Linked DNA regions of Drosophila melanogaster. The protein of the gene in region 1 interacts with the protein of each later gene in a biochemical or structural test. Each region holds a gene or a part of one and is shown in the gene's direction. Other genes may lie near its edges. The genes, in order: Ptp10D and Gp150.

Region 1 (5,070 bases):
AGTCAAACTCTTCAGTCTCAGAATTGGAGACTTTATTAAAGGTTTTTTATTTTATGAAGAATAGCATATTATTTTTATATATATATATTTATGTATATATATTTATATCACAAATCTCCTTCGATATCCCTTTGTAATCTATAAAAACACTTCCAGGCGCAGCTTTATTTTTCAACAGTTTTAATTTTGGGAACTTTACAAAGCATATAAGCATACCCCAAATCCATATCCTTATAAACTTTGTAGTTATTACAAATGTGTTCAAAATTAAAAAAAAAGTTTGTCATCCAAAATCCAATCCGCTAAATACAATATAATCATTTTAATTGATCTATGTTACACTTCTATAATGTCTACTGGACAAAATATGATTAAGTTGAAATTTCAAAGTGTTTTTGAAGTTCGTACTAGCGAAGTTTGGCTGTAGTTCAATACTCACAGAAAGGGAGCGAGACATATTCCCATCTCGCTCCGACCTGTTATCAAAGCCTTTGCCATTGTCCTTGGCGTTGCGTTCTTATCACCGGCGTATCGGAGGGAATATATGATTTTTTTTTCGGCCAAGTGGTTCTAGTGGTAAATATGAGGCGGTGGGTGGTTTCGGGGGGTTTGGGGGAACGGCGGTTGGTGATGGGCGCAGAGAAGGCGGGAGGCGGGGGGGAACACGTTTCGTTATTTTTTGTTTTATAGCGAAATTCCTCTAGCTATAAATGTATGCATACATATATGCTATTAACTTTTCGTTTAGCTCAATTTTTTGTTTGTATTTTTAATTATAACTCGGTTTGTCTAGTGTGTAATTAAATTAAAAGTCCAATGCTAATTCCCCAGCGAATCGTTCAGTGTTTGTTCAAACGAGTTGTGCTCTTTAAACACTTTTGGCTTATCCTTTCATTTAATTTTTGTTTGTTTTCCTTGCGTTGTTATATGTCCAAATAAAAATGAAAGTTTGAATTGTTTTTTTTTAGTAATTTAGTTTTAACTGTAATGTCAAATGTCAAGAGGTATACTCTGTATAAGAATAATAATGTGTAATGTAATTTTTAGAACTTGCTAATCTCTAGCAATTAAAACATAGCCTGTAATTAACAATAATTAATTATAATAACCAGTAACAGTTCATGCAAATGAAACCTTAATAAATAATAAATTATATAAAAGAAGATGGAAGTGTTTTCAATCAATGAAGTTACTTCCTATTTTCAGGAGTTGGAATGTTACACTTTTTTATAAGCTGATTTGAAATGCGCGCCACATTATATCTGCCTTGCGCGCACGCATTGCAGCCGAATAACGGCGAATTAACTCCCCTCAGAGGTGAGTTTGAACTATCGATTATAATCGATTGCATTCGGAAACAAAAAACACCTTGAGTTTGGTCAGATCGGTTTTGCGCGGGATAAATAATAAAATATTAAATGTTTTCTTTGTTAACATTTCGCTGTGCATGCTGTCTGGGTACACATATACAGCCTATCGCCTTGGCTCACTAAGCCCATGGCTCAGATGTCCATTTGGACTAACATTTTGTGTGAGTAATTGAATAATAAGAATTACGGAGCTCGGACTTGTAATGGCCGAAGTACTACTGCCGCAATGCTTGGTTCACGTTAAAAAGAATCAAGTGCAACAAATTTAATTGTATTTAACTATTTTATAACCGCGCAGCAAAGTAATGGTTAATTCTGCTTTTAAATAGTTGACAGTTACAAGCGAAACATAGAAGCCGCGCAGGTTCCTATCGATACCATCGCTGGGTCATCGATTATTTGTCCAGCTCTACAGGTGAAACGAGCGTTGGCGATTCCGATTCCGATTCCAATTCCGATTCCAAATTCGACTCCGGACTCGAATCCGATTTGAATCAGATTCCAATTCAGTGTGGTGAAGAGCGAACCGGAGTGCGGACGGTACGGACGCGAAATCTGTTAAGGCGGGCCGCAAAGCAAACGCTCGAAAAACGCAAAATTTGTCGATTGTCCGTTCCGCTTTTTTCTTGTGTCTGTGCTTTGCGTCGCGTGCCTGCGTGTACGTGTAAGTGTGCGTGCGCCTGTGTTTGTTTTTTGTTATTTTTTTTATAACCAACGACAACAACAGAATAGAAGTAAATAAAATACACAAATTAACGGTGTATATATTTAAATGTTTTGGTTTTTTTTAGTGGCGTGCCGAATGAGCAAAATTTGAGAAAAACGCAGTGGAAAACGTAAGAAATGCTGAAATAAAGCTTAAAGTAAAAGCAGAAATTGAGAGTTGTTTGTGTGTGTGTGTGTATGTGTGTGCAATAATAATAACAAAAAATGTTGGCCGAGGGGGGCAGACAGACACAGAGCGAGAGAGGTAGAAGCAACACCTACGCAGCTTTTTTATGTATTATTTCGTTTTTTGGCATGCCGCTGCTTTCTCTCTTTCACACGCAGCCTCATTTGAATATTTTGTTGTTGTGCGGCAAATTTCTCCACTTCCTGTTTCTCTGACGGCATTCAATTTTGGGGGATCATTTTGGCTTGTTTCATAAAATCTCTATTAATGCTGACAATAAGTTGCGAAAAATTTCCAGTCGCATTAAAAAAACTTGTCCCACATTTAACAATAAATAAGAGGTGAAGAAATACGTTTTTAAAAACTTGTTTTGTTTTTGTGTTTTATGTGCCGAGATCATAAAGCTCTCTCTCTCCCTCTCTCCCTCTCTCTCTCTCTTGCTCTTCTCTCTCGACCAGAAGGAAAAAGATCAATCAAATCAATCTGCTCTGCTCTTCTTCTGTCTTCCTCTCTTTGCAACAAAGTTGAAGGTCTTTTCTGCATGACAACGTTGCCAAGCGCAGAAAGCAACAACAAGACAGTGCAACAATAACAAAACATACACAGAACAAAATTAGAGTAGCTTAAAAGGGAACTCCTAAATTAAATTAGTCCTACAGCAGGATTACCAATTCATTACAAGTCTATTCAAAAGATACAAGGACAACATCTTTAATTTTCCAGAAGATATGATACTTGTCAATACAATTTGAATTTTGTGCCGTGTATCGTTTTGATTTCGCAAAACTGGTTTTCAGACGTTTAGTTTTATTTGTTCTTCATATTTATTTGGTTTTTTTGCTGGCTGCGATATTTTAAATATTTCAATGACGTCAGCGCAGGCTAAATTATTGATCAGCAGTATTTTTTTGCAACTGCACAAGACAGTGCAATTAATTAGCACTTGTCTGCGAATTAGATTTAAATGAATTTAATGCATTGCTTAATCACACAGTTCCAGGAATGAAAACTTAAGTAGAACGGGTATTTCAATATTATACTTTACTGCTAGATAAGTAAAATAATTGATATTGATTTATTAAGCAAAGTCTTAACAGTGGTTTTTAAATCTCAAATGTTCAATCAAATTTGCATTTGCCTAGTTCCACTGTGCAGAAATATAGAAACAAGTCGCAGAAAAATATGAAAAAATAGGAACTGAAGCTTTCGGCGCAAGCGCAAAGTGTTGGATAAGCAGAAGAGGAAGCAGAGCAGGTAGAGAGCAGGACAGCGGCACTATCTAGCTGTCTCCCTCTTGCGATCACTCTTTCAGTTATTTTTAATTCATACTCTCTTGCAGATCACAAAATAAAAAACAAACAAAAACAAAACAAGAATATGTTTTAATCAATTCAAATTAAACCAACAAATTGCAAGCAATTGGATTCAGGATAAAAATTTACAAAATTTCACCACACTAACGGGAAAACTGTGAAAACAATGCATTTAATCAAAGTAAAGACTAAACTCGCGCTAAAAATGCCCGAATTCGAAAGAAACTAGCGAAAAGCCCAATTCAAAAATCGCACAATAAATTGCAAAGTCCAAAGCAACAACAACATAGGAACAAATAAAACAAGAAGCAGGCAACAAAAGAGAGCCAGGCGGAGAGGAAAACAACAACGAAAACAGCAAAACGACGGCCCCAAAATGTTGTACCAGCTAAGTAAAGCCACTACTAGAATCCGGCTCAAAAGGCAAAAAGCCGTTCCACAACATCGCTGGCTCTGGAGTTTAGCATTTCTGGCAGCATTTACACTAAAGGTAAGCGAGAGGGCCAACAAAAACATGGCCAAAACACACAATAGCGGGTGGATTTATAGGCCCGTCGAATTACCCGTTTCGGAATCTTAGCTTGGGAGAAACGATTATTCAGGATAATAATAATAATTATTCAGGATACATCAATACAAGAGAAATATGCAAAATTAGATAGGAGTTCAAAAGATATGATAAACAACAATAACCTCGAAATGTGCACAAATAACTTTCTAAATTCGAGGGCTATCGAAACGACAAGGTTCTGCAAACATTGTCCGAAGTTATTTAATTATTTATTTGTGACGACCCCGCCCCCGCCTCGAATTAAACCGCCCACATGGAAATCATCGTCTTCGTCACTTTTGTCTGTGGTCTTTCCCATGTTAATTAAATTCAATTATTTCGCATCGTGTTTGCTTTTCGCCATTGTTTATGCGAATGTATTTGCCTCACTGGACACAGTACTAAAAACAAACAAACAAACAAAGCAACAAACAAACTCCAATCCGATCAAAGACCTTGAGGAAACAACAAACAAAAGCAAGAGTAACAAACAATAACCGAACAAGATTTTGCATTTTGCATCTCAAGTCGTGTGCTGTGCAGATATGAAGTAGAATGCATTTAACAGAAGATGATGACATATTTATACCCTGTACACTCAGAATAATTAAATATAACAAACTTAACAGATAGTTATATTTTCGTTTCAAGGAATTTGTCTAAATACTTTGCATGCCTGGCATTTTTAATTGATACTTCGAGCTGTGTTGCATAATAAGTAATTGCATTGCCGATTCCTCGATGTGTGCAACTCAGCTGAGTGATGCAATCGATAAGGCTGGCAATTTTCCTAATTAGGTTTTTCACTGTTGCACTTTTGCACGAATTCAATTTTCATAAACTTTATACTTTATGGGTAAATATCTGAATATAGGGGTTTTCATAGGGCATCGATGCGGTGCTACTAACTCACGTCGTATTGTTATGTACTATTTGCTTTTAACT
Region 2 (7,877 bases), on another chromosome or scaffold:
TCAGATTCAGGGCTATATATACGGTGCACCGATCGATCCAAACAAAGGGCAATTGCTGGCAAGGCGAGGAAGCAGGCATAAAACTCGGATTCGAATGGCTGAAATCAATTTATGGAGTTTTAATCACTGAATTCCCATGCAGGGAATTCCCTCAGATAACAGCAAATGCACTTTATCGACTAAAATGCAGCACACAAGGTGCAATTTTATTTCCGATCGATCAGAAGGCATTACTTCGCGATAAATTTTGAAAAGGTCTTAACTGAGAAATGTCGTTTCGCTCACACGAACTTGCAGCTGCTGCAAAATTTTACCCTGAAGTGTAATTAGTTTGCCGACTTGGCAAGTACGCGTCTCTTTTAAGCTCCAGTGACCTTCTTAGATAAGCTAATCGATTTCCTATAATCGAATAGCAATTTTAATTGATTATGACACTTCTCACTATATACTACATATAGTATTACAGACAATATGTACACACTAGACACTACAAAGTGTCATTGCGATTAAACTATTTACGTAAACATTAACGACTTTATTTTGATTGTAATAGAGCACATTCGGTGCGAAGAGTTCAAGCAACTCGAACGTGACACCATCGGTTATTATTTAGAAATTCCCTTTCGAAATGTTTGAGTTTGAGCGAATTGAAATGGCTTTTAGCAAGAATTTTTCGTAACTGGTAAAGTCATCTGCCTGACTTTTGGCTGCCACCGGGCTAACTTGGCTCACACATCTGCTCCGAGTTCGAGTGGCAGTTTCCAGCCAAAAACCAGTCTGGCCATCTTTGTGAGCCAACAGTTTCCCCCTTTTTGTACCAACCTTTTGTGCCAACTGCGTGTTAGTCTGTGTGGTCAAATGTCGGCATTTTTTATACTTTTGTGTTTATTTTTTATGTGCACGCCTTGGGCAATTTTGTCCATTGTACTGCCTGTCTGCCTGGCTGCAAAAAATTAACGTTGCAGAAATTATATTCCAGAATGGCTTCAACCGAGTGGGATACACTATGATATATAGATGGAAATGTTATATCTGAGCAGTTGGCCAGTGGTGTATTTTCTAGCAGAAATAACAATCGTAAATCGTCAAAATCCGCAGCAACTCGTGATGCTAATGAATCGGTCAACAAATTTGACGATGTCGTGATCCGCAGATTTAAAGCCGGATGAAATTGGCTTGAGCCACCCTAATGAAGGCATCAGCTGAGGCATTTCCGTTTCGCCTGTCCCTCCACTCTTTCCATGAATCGATATCCTTTAAAGGGGACACATAAGTTCCCGAAAAAATGCAATATTCTACCTACACGTCCGTTTCTCTCGTTTCACTTCCTGTTAACGCCAGCTATTTTTACCCAGACATCTCAATCACTATCTGCCCACGCACACAGACTCATGATCGCATTATTTTGGGTATTTCTTGGTATTTGCCAGAGACACATTTGTGTTGATCGTAAGACGGAATCAAGGCGAAACTACCTGAGTTCGAGGTTCATTAGCCAACCTTGCTAATCAACGGGATCTCTCTACCCAGAGGAATGCAGATATTTTTCGGGCATATACTTGGTATATTGACTGCCCAAGGGTCGCACCCAGTTTCCAATTTCCGATCGACGACGCACCCATGCACAATTTGATAACCGGGCCCCATCTGCTCTCCAATCCACATGACATTTCTGGGTAACTTGATACTTAAATGTGGGTTGGCGGGTCTCATGGGAAGCGTTTATAATTCTAATCTGTTGACAAAACCGACCACATGCCAACCGTCTGTGAACCAGTTGATAAAAACCGAAAGACAACCAATGGAGCCAAATCAAAATATACTAATAAATTGAATAGAGGTTTACGTTTAAACAAATCGTGTCTTGTATCAAGACTCGAAATCATTTTGTTAGGCGATACTCTGATACTCTGTGGAAGTGTGCCTTTAAACGAAGCGATCCAAAGTGTTTCCGTATCGGGTTACGTTAAGTACGGGGCCATTATGTATGACAGGGCCAGATCAGGGTTTATCTCGATCGAATGTCAAAGTGTTCTAGAAACAGTTTCAGGAAAGCATTTCCCCATTAGCTGGACGTTAATTAGATGCACGACACTACAAAGCACTCAGTTATAGATTTTTATTTACTGGCGGGGGAGACAGATCAATGGAGGGATGGGGCTTACCGATTGGATATATCCCGACTAGTCTAATCTTTACAGCTGTAGATAGCCGCAGCAATATGATGAATTGGCTGACTCACGAATTTCCGAGTGGAAAACGTATTTGCATACATGTACAAGTATGGCCAGTGCCAGTGCCAGTTACCGGTTTCTCTCTAAACTTGAACAGAGTCTACCCTCGTATAGCCCAGTTCAAGCGGACATCTGTGTATACAGACATATATACATACATATATCGCTGCAATGACAGAAATGGAATTAATTATGGTCGGAGTGTCGGCGGCGCCTTGGCCAAAGCTAAAGCCAAAGCCAATTTCAAGCGAGCCAAAAACCGCTGTCTTTCTTGACTCGATGAAATGTGTTAGCCGAGAGACCTAAACACGTTTAATGCGATCTCGAGACTGCAGTTTTCCCTTCGCGCTTGTGTCAGGCTCCCAGTCAACCTGACACCCACTCGCAACGCGGAGCTGGCTGCTAAGCGGTTTGCTGTGGGGTCTAATGAAATGCTCTAACATACGATATGTGCGCACATATGTTCCCATAGCCGCCATACTGTGTATTGGCTGGATAAATGCGATCTATTCTGGCCGCCTTAACTGCGCATTTTGCATTTTACACTTTGCTGGCGGAGTCGGATCTCTCGCGATCCCGGGTCGTTTGCCTGGTTACGAAAAGCAATAATACCCAAAGCTCTTTGTTTACCACTCGGCGAGCCACGGTCTCGAATTATGTGTTTGCTTTGCCATGAAAACGAAGGCAAACACAGGCGGTCTTTCAATAGGGCCATCCGCCATGGAATCCGCATCGAATGGGTGGAAAATGCATTCCAAAACTACGTAAATTGCATAAGAGACCTGGAGAGCGTCGAGTTTTCAGTCTGGTTTTGAGAATTTCTTAGAATCAGCGAGCTGGCAAACGAGTTCATAATCGGCGTCAAGAAACGCTCAGTGGGGATTCCCTCATATCGAATCGATTCCAAAAAGCACAATGTGATTACCCAATCGTTTAGTTAGGGTAACCAAACCAGTCGCGTGCAATCAAAGGGCAAGCAAACTGAAACTCAAATAAACAAGCTCCAGTTGATGACAGACCAACTCGAATCGCGAGATTGAGAGTCAGCAATTCTCCAGAAACTATTTTCGGCATATGCATTACTGTTAGATGATGTATACAGTACTAATCAATAAGGGAAGTACTTTGCGGATACGGTAGTGCGAATTGTGCTTTCACTGGATTCTGAGTAACGTGTTGAAAATACGCAGCGAATCATATGGGGTGCAAAACAATTGCCATTAAACGATAAGCAAACATTTGGAAATTCGTCGATTCGAATGTAGTGTACCTACTAAATTAGCATGCGAAATGATGTCAACTCTCCGGGTGCCAATGTGCTAATTGGGGCAGTCAACTTGGCTCACCATTTCGTCATGCAGATCGGTGATTTTTAAGGAAATAGGTGGACAATGTGCGCATTCTGAGACCAGCCATGAGCTCGGCCACCTCTCCAGAATGTGGTTGATTCAATAAACGCATATCTACTTATCTGGCTCCAGCAATTAGCGATAAGATAGGGCCCGTTGGGTGTGAGTCGTCTGTTTTTGTCATTTTCTCAGAAGCGGCCATTACTGTACTGTATAACGTTGAATTTCCTGGTCCATTTCAGTTTGCCCATCTACAGGAAAATGAGTCGCCAGTCGACTTGCAGGCTAGTCCTGCTGCTGGCCTTTACCCTGGCCCTAATCCACGCCAGCCACTCAAATACCGTGGGCCCCAAGATCCACTTCATTCATGACGATCTGACGGAAAACGAGCTGAACTCTGGAGAGGAGGTGAGCCCGACCGAGAGTCTGCCCAAAATCTCCACCCCCAAGGTAAAGGATTTACCCGTGGAGACGACCACCAGGAGCCCCACAAAAAAAACCACGTCCTCCGGCACCGAGAAGTCCCTTAGCGAGGAGGCTTGGAATGATCTGATGGAGGCGGCCAAGCACAGCCAAGCTTTGGCTGATGATCCACACTTCAACAAGATGCTCAATACTACCGTCGCCGCCGGGGAGAAGAACTCCACCGATACCGACGATAGCGAATACTATGACTACGATGATGATTACAACTATTTCGATGAGGAGACGGTGACGATTTCCCCCAGTCCCAAGAAGGCCAAGAGCAACCCCAAGCTGCAGCCCATTGTGGATGCCACCATCACGAAGTCCAAGGTATACTTCCCCCATCATCCTTAAATTCAAATAAATATGTTTTCGTACTTTACAGAGCAAATCCAACGACCAAAAGACCAAAGAGAGTGCTAACGATATCGACAGCGACTCTCAATATGACTACGACGAGGGTCTGGATGATGATGATGACGAGGACGATGCCGCTGACGACCTTTTGACCGATGATGAGCAAGTTGTCTTCAGCGAGGACGTTCCGTGTCCAAGATTCTGCCAGTGTGCCCGGAATGTCAACAGCTATCTGGTGGCCACCTGCAGCAGACTTGACATGGGCATCCAGAAGTTTGGCTCTGACATTACGGATTTGGTTGTGACCAATGTGGGTCCTAAGTACCCCATCCTGATGGGACCCAACTTCTTCCAGAATCTGGGTCTTAAGAACGTGGCTTCCATCAAGATCGCCAACTGCACCTTGGAGTACCTGCACGCCGAGGCCTTCCACGGACTGAACGAGCTGTACGCTGTTAACTTGACGGATGTTGGTTTGGCTATCATTAATCCCGATACCTTTGTTGGAAACAAGAAACTGCGCATGCTGACCATTTCGGGTAACGACTTGAGTGTGATGTCCAGCATTCACTATTTGCTGAAGGTGAGTGATTTCAAAAACCTTTACCTTGAAATCCAGCTAATAAATTATAATTTTGCAGTCTTCCAGCATTGAGGAGCTGGACTTCTCGCGCAACAACCTTATGGAGTTGAATCCCAAGGCCTTCTCCCATCTATCCAATGTCGTCTACATTAACTTGAGCCAGAACAGTCTCAAGAAACTGCCCGAGAAGGCTTTCGAGAAGGTTACTCTTCTGGAAGAATTGGATCTGTCTTACAACTCGCTGACTGAATTGCCCCGCGATATCTTCAATGGCACCACCCTGTCCATACTGCACCTGAAGTACAATACCTTCAATGGCGATCTGCACTTTGGCACCAAGGATCTGCAGCAGCTGGACTTGAGCTTTAACTCGATTGTCCAAGTGCACCACAGCATGTTCGACAAGATGCCCGGTCTGACCAACCTGAACCTCAAGGGCAATGGCATTAAGAAGATCCAACCGGACTCGTTCCTTACTTTGAAGAACCTGCGCCACATCGATTTGTCCATCAACGATCTGGACCAGATCTCGGGAATGCTGTTCTTTAAGAACTCTGAGCTGGATGTGATCCGTTTGAACGACAATCCTCGTCTGAGCCAGTTGCCCACCGATGGCTTCTTGAGCTACAGTGGGGAGTTCACCGTCTACTACCTGGATATTTCCAATTGCGCCATCGGTCCATTGGGTCACAAGGCCTTCTCCACTATGCCGCATTTGACCACCTTGAAGTTGGCCTGGAACAACATTAATCATCTGCCGCGCGAGATTTTCACTGGACTGCACAAGCTGATTGACTTGGATCTGAGCAACAACCTGATCACCCGCATGGACGATCTGATCTTCATGGACAACGGAGAGCTGACTAAGCTCAGTCTGGCTGGAAATCCCATTAGCCGCTTGTCCGTCCGCCTCTTCCTGCCGCTGCACCAACTGCGATGCCTGGACGTCAATGACTGCGAGCTTACCACCTTGCTCTCCGATCGCGACTTGGGTGCGGGTTACAAGATCTTTGACAGCCTGCGCTCCTTTAACGCCTCTGGTAATTTGATCAAGAAGATCTCTTCGGAGGATGTGAAGAGCTTCAAGAACCTGCGTTCTCTGGATATCACCAACAATCCGCTGAAGTGCACTCCCGACTTCCAGGAGTTCATCAGCTACGTCACTCTTCAGATGCAGATGACTCCCAAGCGTCTGCCCGTGCTGGCCAATCTGGAGGACGATGCTACTATTGTGCAGCTGGAGACTCTGGCTCAGGCTGGTTGGTCGTCTTTGGCCCACGAGGTGTGCAAGCATGCCGAAGGATCAGATCTCTTGGACGAAAAGAAGGCCGACAGTGCCGAAGCCAAACTGGAGAAGCGTCTGAAGGAAAGCGTGAAGAAGCTTAACGAGGATGAGGCTAAGTTGCTGAGTGTCCTGGACAAGAGTGTGCTAGACAAGAGCAGGCTGAGCAGCATGCAGAAGATCATGAAGGGATCGGTGAACACTGAAACCGCGAAGCCTGAGGAAGATGCTGACGAGGAGAATCTGAACAATGGCGGCGAGGATAAGGAGGATGACAGCAGTGACTATGACAGTGAGGAGGATGATGATGACGATGATGAGGACGATGATGATGACAACAACGATGATGATCGCTTCGAGGAGGCCAAGAAGAATGCCAAGGCTAAGGCCGATGCTAACAAGGCCTTCGACACGTTCGTGAACAAGGAACTGAAGCCAGTCCTGAAGACCGATGGTATCCAGGCGGAGGAAGTGGACATGTCTCAGGAGACCCGTGATAAATTCCTTCTGGGTAAGTTTTAGCCAATCATTCGTTGATGGAATGTATTCCAATCGTATGTTTTACCTTCTCAGAGAAACTGGGCTTCGACAGCGAAAGCGAGGAGTCAGATGAGTACACCGAGAAGATGATCTTCCACGGCGAACTATCCTACGACCTGGTGGTCCCACTGATCGTCGTGTCCTTCTGCCTCCTGATGATCGTGCTGTCCATCGCCCGAGTGATCTACGTGGTGCTGCGCAAGCGCGGCGAGCGCTATCGCATGGCGCTGCTGGCCTCAAAGAACTCGTTCGTATACCAGAAGTTGAGCGAGGACATCGTGAAGCCGACCAGCAAGGAGCAGAAGGAGCCCAAGCATCTGAAGCAGCCAAAGGTGCACCGATACGCGCCCATCAATCAGGTCTAAGTCCACCTAGAATCAGCAGTTCCGGGCCGGTGGCCGCGGAAATCGAACGAGTTGCGCTGTTTTTCTAATTTATAAGTATATTGATAGTTGAAAAAGTGGAAAATCACATCAGACAATTGACTAAACACAAGCACAAGAATGTAAGAAACAGGAGGAGGAGCAGTAGGTGGCAGTTAAAAGTATTAGCGAAAGTGCGAGGAAACAAAGCAACAACTAAAAAATACTTGAATCCAAATAAGAGATTGAAAGAGAGAGAATAAATCTTTGACAAAATCCTTTATCCTTGAAATATCCTGTACCATCAAATACTGTTAAGACCAGTCAAAGGTCCTTGGCAACAGCAGAGGTGGGCTTTCAGAGAACGCGTTTGATGAGCAACCGTTTCGAAAGCAACGGATTTGCAATTTATCAAACCTCTGCCCACAATCCGTATCCAATTAGTCCATATCCGGGAACAACTTGAAGATTTAGTGCCATTTTGCCAAAATTCAAACCGAGCGAAAATTACTTAAACACATTAAGGTTTCTAAACTGAGTGTCAAGTCAGGAACAAGAAACGAGGAGCGAGGAACAGAAAGTAGTAAGAGTTTTAGATGCGGGTCTGTGTAGCAAACGGTTAGGAGACTCCCTAGAATGACGTCTGATTTTTAATATGATCAAGAGATGAGAGAAATAATTAATGCATAAACTATGTTAAGACTT

Evidence for each region.
Region 2: of the proteins of Ptp10D (region 1) and Gp150, one has a biochemical effect on the other in vitro, tested with the Drosophila melanogaster proteins (2 studies listed by BioGRID).

The regions. Positions count from the first base shown.
Region 1 is NC_004354.4:11,620,152-11,625,221, forward strand, and holds the start of Ptp10D (protein tyrosine phosphatase 10D), read left to right. Parts: upstream 1-1,863; 5' UTR 1,864-2,034; exon of another isoform or gene 2,035-2,206; intron 2,207-3,601; exon of another isoform or gene 3,602-3,678; 5' UTR 3,679-3,951; coding exon 3,952-4,065; intron 4,066-5,070.
Region 2 is NT_033778.4:22,321,350-22,329,226, forward strand, and holds the start of Gp150 (Gp150), read left to right. Parts: upstream 1-1,553; 5' UTR 1,554-1,620; coding exon 1,621-1,676; intron 1,677-3,768; exon of another isoform or gene 3,769-3,825; coding exon 3,826-4,378; intron 4,379-4,433; coding exon 4,434-4,988; intron 4,989-5,046; coding exon 5,047-6,781; intron 6,782-6,843; coding exon 6,844-7,175; 3' UTR 7,176-7,877.